Linked DNA regions of Canis lupus familiaris. The protein of the gene in region 3 interacts with the protein of the main gene of each other region in a biochemical or structural test. Links are inferred from orthologs where the notes say so. Each region holds a gene or a part of one and is shown on either strand. Other genes may lie near its edges.

Region 1 (4,789 bases), on a different chromosome or scaffold from region 3:
ACTTTTTCAGGCCTAATGTGTCCTAGCTAGTTCATAACAATAGGTACTTGAAATCAGATTTCCTGACAAACTAGTCTAGCACTTAAATTTAGTTTTACAGCTTCATCTTTTAAAGATCTCAAGTTATGTTTCTTTAGCATTACATTTTTTTTTCAAAGATTAACAAGAAACCCAAGAGATACTTCTGTAGGACACTGGCTCTACCTTATAAATAAGACTTATATACCCAAATCAAATTTTGTCACATATTTCTTTCATTTTCTAATAGTGTCTTAAATTTTAGCCAACTGTAAGAGGTCAAAATCAGAACTGTTTACCCTTAGATATGACGAAATAAGATAAAATGGTTCTGTAAGTTACATCACACAACTTCTAATTTTTCCCTCTCATGCCAGCATATTTTAGGCTGATCCAAATCTATGGTATGTGAATTTTCTTTTCCCTGAGGATTAAATCACATTAACTAAGACCTGCTATTTCTAAACTCCTTATACCTTCGACTGGTTGAAGAGCCTTTGGTCATACTGAACTTCATTGGACGTCCGCGGATTGGGCACACCAAGAGCAATGACTTCACTGATATCTCGATTTTCATTTCTCTGTAGTTTTGACCTGTTTCAAAATACAATATCACTAACTGAAAACTCTTCACAGACAAGCCGAATTTCAATTTAAATACAACCAATCTTAGAAGCAAAGTTAATGAGTATGTCCTGTTCATATCTTGTGAACATATATTCCTTGATAATGCATAATCAGGCTGGTAGTCCTTACAGCATCTCAGAGACAGAATTATTAGAAGAGGTGGGGTTTTACAATCAGGCCTTCCTGTTAGCTGAAAAGAACTGTCAAGAGACTCACTCTTGACATGAAGTTTTTAATATAAGCAATCACCTTACAGAAAGAGCATGCTGAGATATGAAATTGCTACGGTCTGTATTTGCTATTACATGATGGTTGCGGGGGGAGGGAATGGATGCAAATTAGACGTATATGAATCACTTTCAATAAGCCAAATTCTGTTCTTTACCTAAACCACATTTAGTAATTTTACCCTATTAGAATTTTGAGGAAAACATGTCAATGACTGAATTACTCAGTATGATTTTCAATATTCAGATTATCTTAATTCCCCTGCTGTTTCAGTATGTATGCAATCTACATCGCAGTGAAACCATGGTAACTGTCATCATTTATTTTACCAGAAACCCAGGTCTTAAAATATTTTCTATAGACGACCAGATTTTCATCCAATCACAAATTTACAGCTTTTCTACATTATCAATTCTCATAACCACTTTACTAGTTTTAAGGGCCCAATTTATCTACAGAGCCATTTTGACTTTTACAGCTTAGGAATTTCAGACCATTAGTATCTTTAATTGTGCACTTTCACATTTCATTCCTCTCTCTTCTACACTGCACATTTACCTACAATTCTAAATTCAGATTTTCTGCTTCTCCATGGTTTCACTTATCCAGGGAGATGAGCTATGCCATTAAAAAACAATACTGGCAGGAATCTTCTTTTTCAATGTTTAAGACATAACTTGAAAAAATGGATTGTATCAGCCACCAAAGTGATGAGAAAGAAAATGTTTTATATTTGCATTTAACACTCACTCAGAATTCAGCGCTCAGCCTTTGGTGAAGCATAAACTTTACCAATCCCTACTTTAGTGTGAGTCCCCATACATGTATTTTGTTTGTTCCAAGCAGGCCTGTACTTATTAGCAGTGCTTTGTTAATATTCTCAAATAATTTTATAAGCTTTGTCTTTCTGAATTTTAAGAGAACTACTTATGAGAAGAGGCCAATTCTCACTTCTCACAAAACCTGCTCTCCTCCTCCACTGTACTTGGGACAGCCCTCTGCATATAAGAGGATCTCAATGCAGGTACAGAAGCTTCTTCCCTGTCTAGAGGAATACGCACATAATCAGTTTGTCCTACCACTTGAAATAGGAAAGAACAGACCAGAACAAGCCTACCTACTGCCTTCTTTTCATAAACAAGATCTGAATTCCCTTTTCTATATTCCTATCATTCGCAATCTAGCTGACTCTACAAGGTGATGAGAAAGGATTTCTTCCAGGGAGTTAATTCTTCTGCTAAGAAAAAATAAGTAGTTTAGTGTAGGAAAGTAAGTGCTGATTTAGTAGATTATCAAATTAAGAGAGGAAAGGGAGAGAAGCAAAACTGGTCCCAGTGGACTAAACCTCTTCTCAAAAGGATTCACAGAGCCACTCCTCACAATTTGTATTTATCTCAAATAGCACCTACCGCTTATCAGGAGCTGCCCTGGAAAGATTCCGGTCGTGTTGTCTCTCTTTTCGCCTGTCATGCCGGATTTCATCCCTCTCACGTGCCTCCCCATCCTCTGTGTAAACAGAGTTGAAAATTCCTCATCACTATATTACGCATTAATATTTAGAATGAAAATATTCTTTAACCATGACCGATAATTCCATAAATTTCTTTATAGTCACATTCAGCCCTTTTAACTCACTTGCAATTAACTTAAATCCAACAGTATTGGTTTAATTTTTGAATATGAATTCCAGAATCATGCATGCAGCTCAAATGTTTAGAGGTAAAGTATACTGATGACTTTGACTTTGCAATGCATCAAAACTGTAAGGTGGATAGAGAGATTAGCAGATAGGTGATAAAATAAATTTAACAATGTCAATTGTTTTTTTGTTTTTTTAAGATTTTATTTATTCATGACAGAGAGAAAGAGAGAGGCAGAGGCACAGGCAGAGGGAGAAACAGGCTCCATGCAGGGAGTCCGATGTGGGACTCATCCTGGGACTCCAGGATCACACCCTGGGCTGAAGGTAGATGCCCAACTGCTGAGCTACTCAGGCATCCCTAGCAATGTCAATTGTTAAAAGAAAAGTTAATCTAGGTGGTGGAATCTAGTAGAATCTGGGTGGTGGTGGAGATAGAAAGGTGTTCCTTGTATAATTTTTTCAACTTTTTGGTGTGTAATGGTCATATTAAAATTTCAGGAAAAAATTATGTGTAAATTTACCCTTATATTTTCAAAGACCAAATGAATAAAGAACCTTTTGCTGGTGGTACACAGGGACTGGTTACATCTTGATCTCTACCTATTGTGTTTATGTCTATCTTCATTTTCTCTTCTCTCTCCAATCTGAAGGGACACAGCTTTGGAGCCAGCTTGTCTGGATTCAAATCCTGTTCCTATGACAGATTAGCCATGTGACCTTGTGCAGGTTACCCAACCACTCTGAGCCTTAGTCTCCTCTGAAAAACTGACAATCCTAGAACCACTGTGAGGGGTTACTAGAGGGATTACATAAGGCAATACATGTAAAGTGCTCAGAGTGGTGTCTTTCATAATAAGTACTCAATAAACATTAGTTCTTTTTACTATCTGGCAACACATTTTTCAGAATTTTACCTAATTCCTCAAGAGCCATTCTGTATTTTTGTTTTTTTTTTTTTCTTACCAGTGTAGAGACTAAGATATAGGGAAATCTTACTTCTAATTACCATCAGTGGCTAAGTGTATGTACAATAGGCAGGTTTTTATAACTTGCCTCATTAAGTCATTTATGTATGATTCAAGGATATGGATCACTACTTCTAATCCTGGTTACCTCCCTATAGCTGAACTCTGGACTCCTCTAACCAAATGCCTACTTGATACCTCCACCTTAAACCTAACTAAACTCCTAATCTTTTCCTCCCAAACTGCTTCCCCTGCAATCTTCCCACTATTAGTAAATAGCAACTTAATGCCTCCTAATTGCTCATGTCAAAAGTCCTGGAGTTAAAAAAGAAAGTTCTGGAGTCATCCTTGACTCTTTTTTTTCATACCTCTACCTAATCCATAAGCAAATTTTGTCAGCTCTCCCTGCAAAATACATCTGTATTTGGCAGTGTTTTCCCTGCCTCTCTTATTATCATCTCTCATCTGGATTACTGCACTAGCCCTCCAAATGACTTCCCTACTCCCCCACATGCCCACTTCACAGCCTGCTCATGTATGGTAGATCATGTTGTTCTGCTTAACTCTTCAACTTCTTCCCTTGTTATTTGAAATAAAAGCCACCTCCTTAAATGGCTAAAAGACCACACATGATCTGGCTACTACCTTTCCTATTTACTCTATTTTGATACCTTGTCTCCTACTACTTAGCTTTCTTGCTCCAATCTGGCTGTACTGGCCTCCCTGCTTTTCCTTTAACATACCAAGAGTACTCCCAACTCAGGGCCCTTGCACTTGCTGTTCCTTCTATCTGGGATGCTCTTCAAAACCCTAGATATCTATAAGGCTCAATTCCTTACTTCAATTTTTGTGCTAATGTTACCATCTCAGAAGTAAGGTTCATCTTGACCCTCTCCTGGCACTTTTGTCCCTTTTTCTTGTTTTATTTGTCTCCATAGCAATTATTACTATACTATTATTATTAATCATCTAGTAATGATAATTAACTTTTTTGGTCTCTCTACACTCACTAGAATGTTTATTGCCATACCTCCAACAACAGAAATCCTTATGTCTAGAAGAGAACCTTGGGCAGTTCCGGTGGCTCAGCGGTTTAGCGCCACCTTTGGCCCAGGGCCTGATCCTGGAGACCTGGGATCGAGTCCCATGTCGGGGACCCTGCATGGAGCCTGCTTCTCCTTCTGCCTGTGTCTCTGCCTCCCTCCCTCCCTCCCTCCCTCTCTCTCTCTCTCTCTCCCCCTCTATGGAGCCTACTTCTTCCTCTGCCTGTGTCTCTGCCTCTCTCTCTGTCTCTCATGAATAAATAAAT
Region 2 (5,450 bases), on a different chromosome or scaffold from region 3:
AACCCTGTCCCCGCTCTGGTCCCTGGCCTCCAACACAGTGCCACCCAGAGGTAGGGCCTCTGAGGATGGTGCTTCCGTTCCGCCTTTTAAGTGGATCTGTGGGGTGTGCACAATGGGGTCTCTGTGGGCCGAGTTTGGCTGAGTGCCAGGCGGGACTGAGGCAGGCTTCCCGCCAAGGAGAGGGGGGAGCACCAGGCCCCAGGGAAGAGACAAGGCCAGCACCCAAGCCCTGAGCAGTGGCCAGGCTTGGGCAGGCAGGCTCTAGGATTGAGGGGCAGGAGAACATGCTGCACTATTGCCCTGTCCCCTTGAAGTGTCTCACTCCAATGCCAAGGAGGGGGCTGCAATAGCCTGCACCCCAAGGCATCCCCTTGTAGCCCAGGCTCAGCCCCCAGACACCCCAGTGTCCCCTGGGGCTGGGCTGTCCCTGCTCCTCCTCGGTGGCAGAGATAGGAGACCACTCCCACCCTCCCCAGCACAGCACCCCTCCTGCCTTCCCAAAGCGCTCGGCAGAAGTACAGAGACCCCCCCCACGCCCCATGGGTGAGCGGGCAGCCAGAGCAGGCACAGGGCCGGCGGGAAGGGAGTCGTGCATTCTGGGAAGCCACGCATAATTAATCACACGGCATTAATCCGCCTCCCAACAATAGCCGCTGCGCTTCCCCTGAATCCCAGCTGTCGGTCTCTGAATGAAAGGAAACAAGATTTAGGGCATCAAGCGTCGGTGAGGCTTCTGGAGGAAAAGAAAAAGGCCCCAAAAAAGCAAAAAAAAAAAAAAAAAAAAAAAAAAGTAGTGTGCATTCATTAGCGTCTGACAAAGACACAATCCTCTTTGTCTATTAAACTGCTCACAGACCTGTTTAATTGGCTTCAGTTTGGGGAGGGTGGGGGCAGCGAAGGAGGGGCTGCCTGCCCACGGGCCAAGGGTTGTCAAGGGAAGGGGCCCTCGGCAGTGGGAATGCAGCACGCTGAGGAGGACCCAGGACCGGCTGGGGAGCCCTTGCTTCCTTTGTGCCCCCCACCCCCACCCCCGCCCTGCGCCCCGGCGGGAGGAGGGGACCTTTTTCCAGCCACCAAGCACCACCTCATAGTCCCATCAAGGAAGAAGTCAAGCTGAAGGGCACCAGCCACAACAGAAAAACTTTGGTGAGGCCGCTGCGCAGGGGCAGGCAGGGCACACAGGCGAGGGTGCATGGGCAGGCAGGGTGCGGACTCTAACAGGACTCCCCGCCCGAGGCGGGGGCGCCCCCGCAGGACACACACATTCCCACTCCAGCTGCGGACCAGCCCAGCAGGTGATGGGCCGGATGGCAGCAGGGCTGAAGCTACAGATGCCAAGACAAAGACCAAGCTCTGGCAGGTACACTCCCACCCACCCCTAACCTATGAGATGGGCTCCCGAAGAGTTCCCCAACCTCACCTGAGGTTGGAGAGGGGGTGCTAGAGGCCGCAGAGGGCCCAGAGGGGTGGGGCTGAAACAGCCCATTTCTGTGAGGGTCAGCACTGGCTGATCTTCGGGAGGCACCCCTATGGGCAGGGCTTCTCTAAAGGTCCACAGCCTCCCCTGGCAGGGCAGTCGTTTCTCAGAGACTTTAGGAAGAAACGGGGTACTGGGAATCCCCACCTAGCACCCCAGGAGTCCAAGGTGGTGCACAAGGCGTGCTCGAACCTCCAGCGGCCAGACCAGCTCCACACGCAGCATAATTGCTGGTGATTAAGTAATTGCCAGACTTTGTCCAATAAAAGTAGCACGTGACCGCGCCCAGCCTTCTGGGCCATCTCCAGAAGACAATGGCCTAGTGTTCTGTCCCTGCTGGCCCCTGCTGCAGAAGGCAGGGGCTCTGCTCCCGACAAAAGCAACAGGTCCCCACAGGGGCGCAGGGGTGCGTACTCACACACAGGCTTCTGTGCCGTTGAGGAACACTTCACACTTCCCGCCATTCAAGCAGCTCTCACTGGGCTGGGAACATCGCAGACCTGGGAGGGGCGAGGCAAGAGATCAGCCTGGGTGGCACAAGGGCCCTCAGCCCAGGGAAAGGCCCACCCCAAGGGGTACAGCAGCCCCTCACCTAGACAGCTCTGCCTCATCACGGGGTTGCTGGGGGCAGGGGACCTCAGGAACCCTCCCAAATGGGGACCCCAAAGGGCTTCCACATTCTGCCCAGAGTTCTGTAGTCAGAAACGGGGCGGGGGGGGGGAGGGCAACAGGTTGGCAGGGTGGCAGGTGGACAGGTCATGCTCCATATGGGCCAAGGAGGCCTGAAATGCCATCTGGACAACAATGAAGGGAATCTGAGATGTCCCTGGGCCACTCTTCCAAACTCTGCACCCCCAACCCATCTTCAACGGGGAGCCCAACTGGGCTGGGGCCCCTATCCAGCCACCAAGATTGTCTTGCAGTTCAAACATGTTCTGGGAGGGGGCGGTGCTGAGGGGTGGGGTGGCCACACTGCCCCCCACCCCAGCTCGTGGGAAAAGGCGACAGCTGCAAAGCTCAACGCCCCGCCCGCCGAAAAAGCGCCAGCCTCGGAATCAGAGCAGCCCATTGTCAACAGGGCCGCCTCCTGGGGCAGTGGGGCTGCACCTCGGGGACCCGGAGCCGCCTCCAGGACACCCAATACCTGCTCTGCGTCGGTCACCCCCAGATACACCCAGGGGAGGAGGATGGAGATGCCCTATTTGGAAAGAATTCGACCCCATTCCCAAGAAGGGATTAATCCAGTCGTTCCCTCCCCGTGGTACCAGCGACCTGTGAATTAAGCCCCTTGGGGGGGGGGGTGCAGGTACGGGATGTGACTTGGAACCCCACCTTCTGGAAGCAGGGAGCTAATTCTCCCCACGAACTTTCAGGGGAAGAGAGGACTCAGTCACCACCGGATCCCTGATGTGAAGTGGAGAGAGAAGCGTTCCTTCTCCACGGCCTCTCAGCCCTCGCTACATTTCTAAACTTGAACTCCGCAAAGTGAAAGTCAGGCCGGTAGGGGCTGGGTGTTCCGCACCCCGCACCCCCCCCCCCACCGGCAAGCTGCATGGGAGCGGGGACGGGGGTGGCGATCGGACGTGGGAAGGGGGTGCTGCGTCCTTCCCTCGCCAGCCCTCCCGAGCGCTGAGGCCGCCCGGCCCCACCCGCCCCGCATTGCTCCGTAAGGGCAGCGCCGCGCCTGGACCCCACGCTCCGCGCCCGGCATCCGCGCCCGGCATCCGCCCCCGGCGCGGGCCAGAGGCGACGAAAAAGATAAATGGTCCCCAAAGCAACAGGAAACCAAAACCGACTCGATTCAAATCGAAAAGGAGTAGGCAGCCAGCCCGCCTGCCCCGGCGGCAAGCCCCACGCGTGGCTGACGGAGGGCGAGCCCAGGGCTGGGCCCGCCGGGGTCCCAGGCGCTCCGAGCGCCCCGCGCCCGGCTTCCTTCACACCGGCTCCGCGCGCGGGCGGCGCGAGCCCTTCCCGTCGGTCCTTCTCCTGCGCCCGGGGTCGCCCCGCGCCCCTCTCCCGCCCCTGCCGCCGGCTCCGGGCCGGCCGGGGCGCGCGCGTAGGCGCCGCCAAAGTTTCCGGAGGGCGCAGAAAGTTGCGGGCTCGCGGGCGGGCGCCTACCTCGTGCGGCGAGCGCGGGCAGCAGCGCCAGGCAGAGCAGGGGAGGCAGGAGCGGCGGCATGCCTGCCCGCCCGCTGCCCGCTGCCCGCGGCGGCCTCCCGAGCCGGGACAGCGGGGCTGCCGCGCACGGGGCGCGCCGGACGGTCCCACGAGCGGCGGTGGCGGCGGCGGCGGCGGCGGCGGCGGCGGCGGCGGCGGCGGCGGCTCCCGGCTTCCCGGCGGGCGGGCGGGCGGGCGGGCGACGCGGGGCCCTCGCGGCCTCGGGCCCGGCTCGCGCCCCGGCTCGTTCCTCCGCTGCGCTCGCGCCCGTGCCCGCGCCCCGCGCCCCTGCGCTCCCTCCCGCGGCCGAGGCACTAGTGAGGCGCAGGCCGCGGTGCGCTCCGCCCCCCCTCCGGCCCCGCCCCTCGGGCCCGCCCTGCCGATCCCTCCGCACCCCTCGCCCTCGCCCTCGCCGGCTGCGCCCCTGCGTGCCCCGCGACCTCCCCGCGTCTCCCCGCAGCTGGGCGCGCCTCGGACGCCCGGGCCCCCGGGGGCCGGGGGCCGCGGCGGGGCGAAGGGGCGTCGGAGGTCGGACCTAGGGACTACTTCTTGTTCGAAAGTTTTCAGCGGCAAAAAGTTTGGTTCAGGACTGCGGAAGGATCCGCCTCTGACTTACGCCGCGCTCGGCGACAATTGACAAAGATTTGCATCTCAATAGCCGAGGAGGTGCGAGCTGAGTGGGGCGAGTGGGGCCTAAGGGTACGTGCGCGGCTGAGGAGCTGGAGGAGCGGCCAAGGCCTGTGGGGGACCCGGGGCCGTGACTGGAGCTCGGGGAGGACTCGTGCCCCCCCGGCCGTAGGGAAGCCCCCGACCCAGGGGCTCAGGTCCCCGTGGCGAGCCTCCAGGAGACAGGCCGGGCACTTGACCCCCAGGGATGGCGGCGCCGGGGCCTCTGTTTCTGGAGAGCGCTGGGTGCCCCAGTGAAACCACCTGGGGCCAACGGCTGCCCAACGGACTGCGCTGCTACTACTCCCCCAGGAGGGACCCGCCTCCAGACGCTCTTGCTCGCTGACCAGCCCCTTCTTCAGGCGCCTCCCTTTCAGATGCCCGGCAAGCACACGAGTCCAGCAGACCCTCTGCGAGCCCCAGGGCAGCCCTGGGCCCCTCCCACGTGCTCCTTCCGGATGATTTATTTCTCCGCCACGATGCCAGATTTGGGCATCCTGTGCCAAGTGGGGTTAAGCTCTGGGCATTCCAGATGCCTGCCACGGCCCCTGCTGAAACCAAAGTTCATGGCCTGGCCCTGGGGACAGACACCCCCATCCCAACAAAGGTTGGTCAGCACCGTGGGAGGAGGTACAACCACCCAGCCGCGCATGCCCACGGCCCTCTGGAGTGGGTGATGCCAGGCTGAGAGGGACCTGGCTGTGTGAAGGGCGGCAGGCCAGAGCACCTGCAGGACTGCGGAGCCTAGAGGCTGGTAGCGCAGTCGCCTTGCAGGGAGACTTGCGATGTAGGTAGAGTGGGATGCCCGGTGGTGGGCAGATTTCACACCTGACTCCTGCCCACTCTTCTTGGCACACCTGTCCTGGAGCGCTGGTGGTGGCTGGGATGCTGTGAGTGCCAGAGGGCCAGCCAGGCCAGGCCAAGACAGCTGTCTGCCTCCTTCCAGAAGCTGGCTGCACAGTGCAGAGCCTGGGGTGACTTCTCTCTCGGCCAGTGCCCGTGACCTGAGGCGCCTGGAGGCTGCAGAGATGTTTATATAACAGCAGCCTGGCAGCCTGGAGGAGCACATTATCCCTACAAGGAAGAGGATGGCTGCAGTCCATCCCTATCCTCCCGTCCCAGCTCATAGACTCAGGGCTCTACCCACTAC
Region 3 (4,789 bases):
GATAAGTTTTATTTATAAAAATTATAAAGATACAAATGTCATAAAAATATTTGAAGAAGGTCATTATTAAGGCTTCTTAGTGTGCATTCTGTGTCTAGCTCATCACCTTCAATGTTACCTGCCAGCCCCCATCCCTATTGCCAACTACGATAAGGCAAACACTAAGATAGTCAGTGAAGATTTACTGAATGAGGAAATAGCTTCTTTTGTATTATTTTAAAGGAGAGTCATATGATCGTTGAGAACAAACCATTTTTCGAATTTTAATATTAAGGGAAAAAATAATAGTTAAATGCTAACTCAGTAAGAACTATTTTTGAATACTAAAGGTATAGACTGAAATGATTAGTTTCTAATAAAATACAATTAATAAAACTAATAAATAAATTCCATTTCCTAACAAATTAAACCCCTAAAAGTCTGAGTAAAGCTAATTGTGGCTATTTTTGTCAATAGTGTAGTTTTGTTCCACAGAGAAGCTAGACATTTACAATCTTTACAACCCACGTAAATACTTCTAAGAATTTCTCTCTTTGCTTCCATATAAGACTGAGAGTAAAATATTACTGAACTGTGTATTTTCACTGTTTATTGAGTCTCATATACCCGTCAGACACATGAGAGAGTAGGCTTTTCAATTATTATTGGCTTCCAATGGAACTTTTTTCACAGCCTGCTAAAACTGCCCCCAAGCTGAGGAAGCTTGCCGCGTGCCACTTTTAGATGTCCACAAGCTCATTACTAGACCATAGCTATTTGAGAACTTTATCTCTGATGGGTGAGGCTGTGTGTATCTGTGGGAAGGTGTTCAGAATATTGCTACCAAAAGCCATAAAAAGAAAAAAAAATCACCACCACAAAAACAAATAAGAAAACCACATGCTGCCATGGTGCCTTTTAGGAGAACCAACACAGTTTTAATTTACCTTTCCTTCCAAGTTCAGCTGCTGCATTTCTTGGTCACTATTTCCTATTCCAATAAATGCACATGGTTGAGACTCTTGTTCAGAACAACCATCCCGTTCCATTTGTTCTTTTTTTTTCTTCCATCCACTGCCCATAAGATACACACAAGGAGGAGGGCAAAAAAACCTGAAACAGTGGGGGAAACACACACACACACACACATACACACACACACACACCACACACAAAAAAATGCAATTAGATTCAAGAAAAATATTTCCTTTCCTTGAACATATGAATACAAAATTATATTGAACTGCATAAGTAACCTCCTAACGAAACATTTTGGTGAAGCCTTTTGAAATGCAAATAGTCATGTCCAGAGCACAGAAATCAAGGCTTCCACAAAACTACATTTGTTCAGAGCAGGTTCATCTATATTGGAATCATGCAATCAATTACATTAAATACTTTTTGGAGCAGGGAGTCTCCCTTTAATTTTCATAGAGCTCAGAATTCTGAACTATTGGAATTCAGCAAATCCAATGAAGTCTAAAAGGTTACAGAAGATGATACACCACTGCGGAATCTGCAATTATTAATTAAGGTCTACTCAAAAATGATATATTATTAATCAAGGACACTATTGTTAGGGCTAATACACTTAACTATATTTGGTAATTAACCTGGAAAACAGAGTAAGAGCAGCATCCTAAGTAGAAGTTTTCAAAATATTAATAAAAGTAGAAAAATTAAAAACAAAGTGAATGACTGGATTACTATGTTTTCTGTATGTTCCACCCTGAACACCTGGTGCAAGTGGATGACTGAAAGAACAATGACATTGTACCCTTTCAACTCACAGATTACCAACGGATTTGGTTTGCTAGCTGCCAAAAAACCTGCCTTCAAAAATTCTTCCCACCTAGAATAACTTCCTTATATCGTTGACCCTTGAACACTGTGGGGGTTAGGGGTGCCAGCTTTCTATGCAGCAAAAAAAAAAAAATCCATGCCTAACTTCTGACTCCCCCAAAACAGTAGCCTACAAATAGCCTACTGTTGACCAGGAAGCCTTACCATTAACATAAACAGTCAACACATACTTTGTATCTTATATGTATTATATGCTGTATTCTCACAACAAAGCTAGACAAAAGAAAATATTACTAAGAAAATCTTAAGAAAAATACATTTGCAATATATAGTATTAATTGAAAAAAATATGCACGTAAGTAGACCCTGCAGATTGAACCCATGTAGTTCAAGAGTTAACTGCTATTTTCTCTCTAGCAATTAAAAAATATCTATTTCAAAGCCTAGCTCAAGCCCCTATTTTATAGCTCAGATCATCAATCCGGTCCTTACACAGGGTATAATTTGCTTTTGCTCAATTATACATATTGGCTTGTGCATACTTTAAAACGTTTACACCATGTCTCATCAACGGGTCTGAAAACCAAATACCTACTCAAATAGGAGCTAAGTAAACTCAAATAGTAGCCAGGTAACTAATTTAGTGGGTGAACCAGGCTACAATAAATAAGTAGGAATATCCTTTAATAACACAAAGAAGTAGGTTCCCTCCTTTCTTTCTTGAAAACACACAGTCCTGATGGTAATTCCCACTTTCTGTATAGTTATGAGTAAAGGAAAATTTTTATTTCTTTTAAGCCTACTAGAAGAAAAAGAAGAACTTAAATGCAATGATAAGCAGCTATTGGTGTGTGATTCTGATGATAACGAGGCACAATACAGAATAGCAAGCCTGTGAACACACAGTTTGCTCAACTACTGGCATGTGGACCTAGTGTTGGTCACATCCTCCGATTGTTCAACAGATGCTTGAAATTAAATTTTATATGAAGTTCCTTATAAAATTTAGCCACTAATTTATGTTTTTTAACACTTTGTAGGCCAAGAGCGTGCAGGCTTAAGTGACAAAATGTGTACATGTGCCTATTTGTGTGCATGTATGTAACACACTGACAACACCAGGGTGGATTTGGCCTCAGCCCTTCCTAAAGGTAGTTAGTATCTACTTTTTGTTTGTTTCCCCCCTTAGCACCTACTACAATATTGACTGAACTGAATCAAAACTATGTAACAACTACTTTTCACTCAACTCTAAAGACTACTTTAGGAGCAATTTATATTAATTTATAAGTGAGCTGGGTTTATGTAATATTTATTAATTTACCACATTATTACACCCCTAGTCTGTACCCCTAGTGTATGAGGCACTGGGAATATAGGAGTCAAAAAAAAAAAAAAGACAAAAATTTCTGTCCTGATGGAATTCACACTCTAATAGAAGCGACACACAATTAAAAAACAAAACAAAACAAAAAAAACATAATTGAGTAAGGTAGCTTATATATTCTGTTAGCTGGTGAGAAGTACTGAGGGAAAAAATTAAGCAGATAAGGAGTACTTAAAATGTAGAATACCTACGTAGCCAGGGAAAGCTTCCTTAAAAGGTAAGCCCGAGTTACATCCTAAAGCAATGGGTAGCTGGGGTAGGAGTATTTCAGTTGAGGGAAAATCAAGTGTAAAGGCTCTACAGTAGGAAGGACTAAAACGGACTGTGTCTAAACAAACACAGACCAGTGTGGCTGGAGTTGAGAATAGAAGATGAAGCCTAGATAATGGAGAAGAAGATGAAGTAGGCCCTGGGGGTCAAGCTGAGTGAGGAGGGAAGCCACTGAAGTCTTCTCATATTTATCTAAAGCAATAAAAAGGCAGCAGAGCAGCTTTCATGCCTACATACTCTCACTGTGGCTGTGGATACAGAGGTCACAGCCGAGGTAGTGGGCTCAGCTCCAGGTCACTCCAAGTTTGGAGGGATGCCTGGAGTAGCTGGGCTAGTACTGGAGTTGGCTCAATTCAAGTCTACGGCAGGGATCTTTCTGGCCTCTCACACTGGGAGCCTCCCAATGCTTACCATGGCACAGACTCAAATACCTAGCTGGCACACTATTGGGAGGTTGAGAAGGCATCAATTTAAGAAACTTGCCTCCTATTAGTGTTTTTTTTTTTTTTATTGAACGCTGATATTAAAATTCCTTAGTAAACTGGTATACCAGCTATAAAATTCAGAGTGGTGCTTCAGTAGAGTGTACCAGACATGGGAGTCAAATCTCAACAAGCTATCATAAAAGATATTTTTTATCTCACACCTAAAATAATATAAAGAGGGTTAAAACTGTAGAAGATTGGGTAGTACTGGCTTTCTCAAGAGTATTGTGATAAAAGGGCATAAACAAGGTATAAAATTAGGTTGCCAATCAATTCTTCATCACTTAAAACTCAGACAAGATTCTATATTGAAAGTGCTTTCCAATAAGAAAAATAAAGACTTCACAAATGCCTTGTGTTTTTTGTCAACTCTACAACAATTCAAAAAAGTTGCAATGTAAGAAAACAGCAAATCCAGTACAATCTAAACATCGAGACTATTTCTATATAATGCGTTGATGAAAACCGTATTCTAAACACCCCATATTGTCACCCCCTAGGAAACAGCTAATGAGTCAGGTTTGCATTTCCAAAGACTTCAGTAGTAACATCATTAAATAGAAGATAAGCATACACACAGCAAAAGAACACAGACAAAAGAAAGGAAATTTTTCCATCTCTTTGGGTCTTCCTCAATTTCTTTCAGAAGTGTTCTGTAGTTTTTAGGGTGGAGATCCTTTACCTCTTTGGTTAGGTTTATTCCTAGGTACCTTATGCTTTTGGGTGCAACTGTAAATGGGATTGACTCCTTAATTTCTCTTTCTTCAGTCTCATTGTTAGTGTATAGAAATGTCACTGATTTCTGGGCATTGATTTTGTATCCTGCCACACTGCCGAATTGCTGTATGAGTTCTAGCGATCTTGG
Region 4 (4,789 bases), on a different chromosome or scaffold from region 3:
ATAAACCCAGTGCTACCTGCTAGTGCATTGAGGTTTATACTACCAAAATGATATCAAGATGAATTTACAAGATTCCATTATGCTTTAGATGAATTTCCCAACTACTTAGGGGAAGTGGGATTTTTGTTTTTAAAGATTTTATTCATTAATTCATGAGAGACATAGAGAGGGAGAGACATAGGGAGAAGCAGGCTCCCTGTAGGGAGCCTAATGCAGGACTTTTTTTTTTTTTTTTTAAAGATTTTATTTTTCATGAGAGACACACAGAGAGAGGCAGAGACACAGGCAGAGGGAGAAGCAGGCTCCATGCAGGGAGCTTGATGTGGGATTTGATCCTGGGACTCCAGGATCATGCTCTGGGCCAAAGGCACCAAATCACTGAGCTACCTAGGTGCCCCTAATGCAGGACTTGATCCTGGATCCTGGGATCACGCCCTGAGCTGAAGGCTGAAGCTCAACTGCTGAGCCACCCAGGTGTCCCAAGGAGTTGAGGTATTGTGTAGTCATGTGAATAGTTATCTCAAAACTTGTCCTTTCTAGGTTCTTTGGAGACCCTTTTGTCCATGGTACCAGTGTGCAGTTGTACTGTCTATCCTGCTTGAGTTGCATTCTTTGGGAACAGGAACACTCATTTCTTTTGGTAGTCAGAGGGCCCACCAAAATATGTGCAGAATCAGTATTTATTAAACTGAACAGAGCTCTAGCACTAATGTTTATGCATATACCTTTGATTTATGTAACTTTTTCATATTTGGGGGCATAGTTTTAGTTTGATTAATCTAAAACATAACCTTGACTCTTTTTACAGTATGACTTTAAGCTTACTGTTAAATATCTTTTTTTTTTTTTTTAAGATTTTATTTATTTGACAGCACAAGCAGGGAGCAGCAGGCAGAGGGAGAGGGAGAAGCAGGCTCCCCACTGAGCAGGGATTCCCCATGTGGAACTCGATCCCAGGATCCTGGGATTATGACCTGAGCTGAGGGCAGATGTTTAACCAACTGAGCCACCCAGTTGCCCCAAGCCTACTTTCAATGTGGGAAGTGAACCGGTGACCATTCTAGATGTCTTAATTTATATTGGAAAGCATACAGTATGTTTACCTTTATGTATGAAAAGTTGCTTCCTTGGAATTTGTATTTATGGTGGCAATGAATTAGCCAAGTTCCATGCTTTGAAACATTTATTTTAAGGTGGCTGGCCATTATTTAGGCAAAGAATCTGATTCCTGTGGAACTCTAGAAAGATCATCTTGAATCCAATTAAACAAAATAATATAGATATTCTCATAAAATATTCTCTCTAAACTGAGAAATTCCGTATAAATACATATAACAGTGTGTTATTGATGCTTCCAGTGTTTGAATGTTAAACCTTAGATGCTTCATTTGCTGTAGAGAGAGAGTTAGAACATCACCCAGTAGTAGCTTTGACATATTTATTTTTCTTCTTTATTCCTTTCCTTTCTCCTTTCCTTTCTCCTTTCCTTTCCTTTCCTTTCCTTTCCTTTCCTTTCTCCTTCCTTCCTTCCTTCCTTCCTTCCTTCCTTCCTTCCTTCCTTCCTTCCATTTTTCTTTTCCTTATTTATTTATTAAATTTTTTTGGTATATATATATATTTTTTTTTTTTTTTTAAGATTTTATTTATTTATTCATAAGAAACACAGAGAGAGATTGAGAGAGGCAGAGACACAGGCAGAGGGAGAAGCAGGCTCCATGCAGGGAGCCTGAATGGGACTCAATCCCAGGACTCCAGGATCACTCCCTGAGACGAAGGCAGGCGCTTTAACCGCTGAGCCACCGAGGGTCCCTGGTATATTTTTTTATTGGAGTTTGCTTTGCCAACATATAGCATAACACCCAGTGCTCATCCCATCAAGTGCCCCACTCAGTGCCCGTCACCCAGTCACCCATCCCCCTGCCCGCCTCCCCTTCCACCACCCCTTGTTCGTTTCCCAGAGTTAGGAGTCTGTCATCCTCTGACTTTATTTATTTGAGAGAGAGAGAGCATGAGCAGGTGGGAGACAGAGGGAGAAGAAGGAGGAGCTCCCTACTGAGCATGGAGCCCGTTGCGGGGCTCAGTCTCAGGACCCTGAGATCATGACCTAACCTGAATGCAGAGACTTAACTGAGCTACCAGGCACCCCTGACATATTTTCCTAAGATTCATTCTTTCAACAGGTACTTGAGTGCTTCCTCTGAGACCGTTACAAGAAGACCAAAACAAAACAAAACAAAACAAAAAAACCACCTCATTCCTTTAGGGGCTTAAGTTCTAGATTTGTTTATGTTTTAGTAAGCCACTAAAGGTAGTACTGTTTGGCAAATTGAACTCCAATAAAAATAAAATAAAAATAAAAAAGGCAGTACTGTGTAGAATGTATGACCTGCTTGAGGGAACAAAAATGGACAATGAATGAGAGTGAAAGAATTGTCCTTTGTTACAGGTAAATTTCATTTTATCCCTCATACATGTTCTTTTTTTAAAATATTTTTTATTTATTAATGAGAGACACTAGAGAGAGAAAGAGAGGCAGAGACACAGGCAGAGGGAGAAGCAGGTTCCATGCAGGGAGCCTGATGTGGGACTTGATCCTGGGGCTCCAGGATCACGCCCTGGGTCAAAGGCAGGTGCTAAACCACTGAGCCACCCAGGAATCCCCCCTCATACATGTTCTTGTGTGTAAATTAAATCCTATCTTGAATGCCCTGGATAGGTCACTATCAAAGAAAACCATGCTGAATTCCTTTACAATTGAGGAATCTCACACAAAGCCTGTGTTCAGTTGGTGGTTGGGGAAAAGTAACATTACTAAAGGCCAAGTATGTGCCTTGCATTTTGTCAGGAAAGTTCTTAAAACTGTTACCTTATATAATCTTCTTAAGAGCCTTATGAGGAAAGTTTACCACCATTTTATAAGGGAGACTGACTTCCAACATTTTTTTTGAATTGTGATAGAGGTGTTACCAATGTTATATGGGTCATGTAGGTAGGAGGATTTCAGTTAGATTATTCTCTTTCCCAATAATACATTTGTTTCCCAAGTTGTGGTAAAAAATCTTTTGGCAGAAAAGTAATTATGAAAGACTTACGAATGTGGGGATATGATACCGTTTAATACTAGTGCTTATTATAAGTCATGATACTTCAACCTAAAGAATAAAGAAGGGCTGAAGTGCTGTCCAGTAGAAACATAATGCAAACTAAATTTGTGGTTTTAAATATCCTAGGGCAGCCCCGGTAGCATAGTGGTTTAGCGCCGCCTGCAGCCCAGGGTGTGATCCTGGAGACCCAGGATCGAGTCCCATGTCGGGCCCCCTGCATGGAGCCTGCTTCTCCCTCTGCCTGTGTCTCTGTCTCTTTCTCTATCTGAATGAACGAATGAGTAAATTATAAAAAAATGAATAAATAAATAAGTGAATATCCTAGTAGACACAGTAAAAAAGTGAAAAGGTAAAATTAATTTTATTTAACTCAGTATGTCTAAAATGTTATTTCAGCATATAACCAATCTAAATATATTAAAGTATTTCTTTTTTTAAAATTAAATCTACCAAGTCCAGTGTGTATTCTGTATTCACATCTCAAATTTCAAGTTCTCAATAGCCACATGTGGGTTGTGGCTACGGATAGTATTGGACAGTCCACATCTAATGAGTAAACAATGGCAAAGAGTTTTATTTTACTTTTATTTATTTTTAAAGATTTTATTTATTTATTTCATAGGAACACGAGAGCATGAACAGGGGAGGGGTCAGAGGTAGAGGGAAAAGTAGGCTCCCTGCTCGATCCCAGGACCCTGAGATCATGACCTGAGCCCAAGGCAGATGCTTAACCGACTGAGCCACTCAGACACCCAAGATTTTTAGAAGCAGGACTTCGTTAATCTCATGTGTGTGGTTTAATATGTCAGTGACAAGGAAACAAAACAACTAATACATTCTTTTTCATATTTCATAGAGAGGAACGAAGGGGATCTTATGACTATAGCCAAGATCGTACATATTATGAGAATGTTCGTACTCCAGGCACATATCCTGAGGACTCCAGACGGGACTATCCAGCCCGAGGGAGAGAATTTTATTCAGAATGGGAAACTTACCAAGGAGACTACTATGAATCACGATACTATGACGATCCTCGGGAATATAGGGATTACAGAAACGATCCTTATGAACAAGATATTCGGGAGTACAGTTACAGGCAAAGGGAACGAGAGAGAGAACGTGAAAGGTTTGAGTCTGATCGGGACAGAGACCATGAGAGGAGGCCAATTGAGCGCAGTCAGAGCCCAGTGCACTTGCGACGCCCACAGAGTCCTGGAGCATCTCCCTCACAGTCTGAGCGGTTGCCAAGTGATTCTGAAAGGAGGATTTATAGCCGGTCCTCGGACCGGAGTGGGAGCTGTAGCTCACTTTCTCCTCCAAGATATGATAAACTTGACAAATCTCGTTTGGAACGCTATACAAAAAATGAAAAGACAGATAAAGAAAGGACTTTTGATCCTGAGAGAGTGGAAAGAGAAAGACGCTTAATAAGGAAGGAAAAAGTAGAAAAGGATAAAACTGAAAAGCAGAAACGAAAAGGAAAAGTTCATTCCCCTAGTTCTCAGTCTTCAGAGACAGACCAAGAAAATGAGCGAGAACAGAGCCCTGAAAAATCACGGAGTTCTAATAAACTGAGCAGAGAGAAAGCTGACAAAGAAGGAATAGCAAAAAACCGTCTGGAGCTTATGCCCTGTGTGGTTTTGACTCGAGTGAAAGAGAAAGAGGGGAAAGTTATTGACCAC

What was found.
Region 1: the proteins of RBPJ (region 3) and SNW1 form a complex in vitro, tested with the Homo sapiens proteins (2 studies listed by BioGRID). The link is inferred for Canis lupus familiaris from reciprocal best matches to the Homo sapiens genes RBPJ and SNW1.
Region 2: the proteins of RBPJ (region 3) and NOTCH1 form a complex in vitro, tested with the Homo sapiens proteins (5 studies listed by BioGRID and IntAct, with this or other methods). The link is inferred for Canis lupus familiaris from reciprocal best matches to the Homo sapiens genes RBPJ and NOTCH1.
Region 4: the proteins of RBPJ (region 3) and SPEN form a complex in vitro, tested with the Homo sapiens proteins (2 studies listed by BioGRID and IntAct). The link is inferred for Canis lupus familiaris from reciprocal best matches to the Homo sapiens genes RBPJ and SPEN.

The regions. Positions count from the first base shown.
Region 1 is NC_049229.1:50,799,072-50,803,860, forward strand, and holds part of SNW1 (SNW domain-containing protein 1), read right to left. Parts: intron 2,380-4,789; coding exon 2,283-2,379; intron 613-2,282; coding exon 495-612; intron 1-494. UniProt on the Homo sapiens protein: Involved in pre-mRNA splicing as component of the spliceosome. As a component of the minor spliceosome, involved in the splicing of U12-type introns in pre-mRNAs.
Region 2 is NC_049230.1:48,972,683-48,978,132, reverse strand, and holds the start of NOTCH1 (neurogenic locus notch homolog protein 1), read right to left. Parts: upstream 3,711-5,450; 5' UTR 3,657-3,710; coding exon 3,596-3,656; intron 1,978-3,595; coding exon 1,896-1,977; intron 1-1,895. UniProt on the Homo sapiens protein: Functions as a receptor for membrane-bound ligands Jagged-1 (JAG1), Jagged-2 (JAG2) and Delta-1 (DLL1) to regulate cell-fate determination.
Region 3 is NC_049224.1:84,674,949-84,679,737, forward strand, and holds part of RBPJ (recombining binding protein suppressor of hairless), read right to left. Parts: intron 1,093-4,789; coding exon 927-1,092; intron 1-926. UniProt on the Homo sapiens protein: Transcriptional regulator that plays a central role in Notch signaling, a signaling pathway involved in cell-cell communication that regulates a broad spectrum of cell-fate determinations.
Region 4 is NC_049223.1:81,177,982-81,182,770, reverse strand, and holds part of SPEN (msx2-interacting protein), read left to right. Parts: intron 1-3,960; coding exon 3,961-4,789. UniProt on the Homo sapiens protein: May serve as a nuclear matrix platform that organizes and integrates transcriptional responses. In osteoblasts, supports transcription activation: synergizes with RUNX2 to enhance FGFR2-mediated activation of the osteocalcin FGF-responsive element (OCFRE).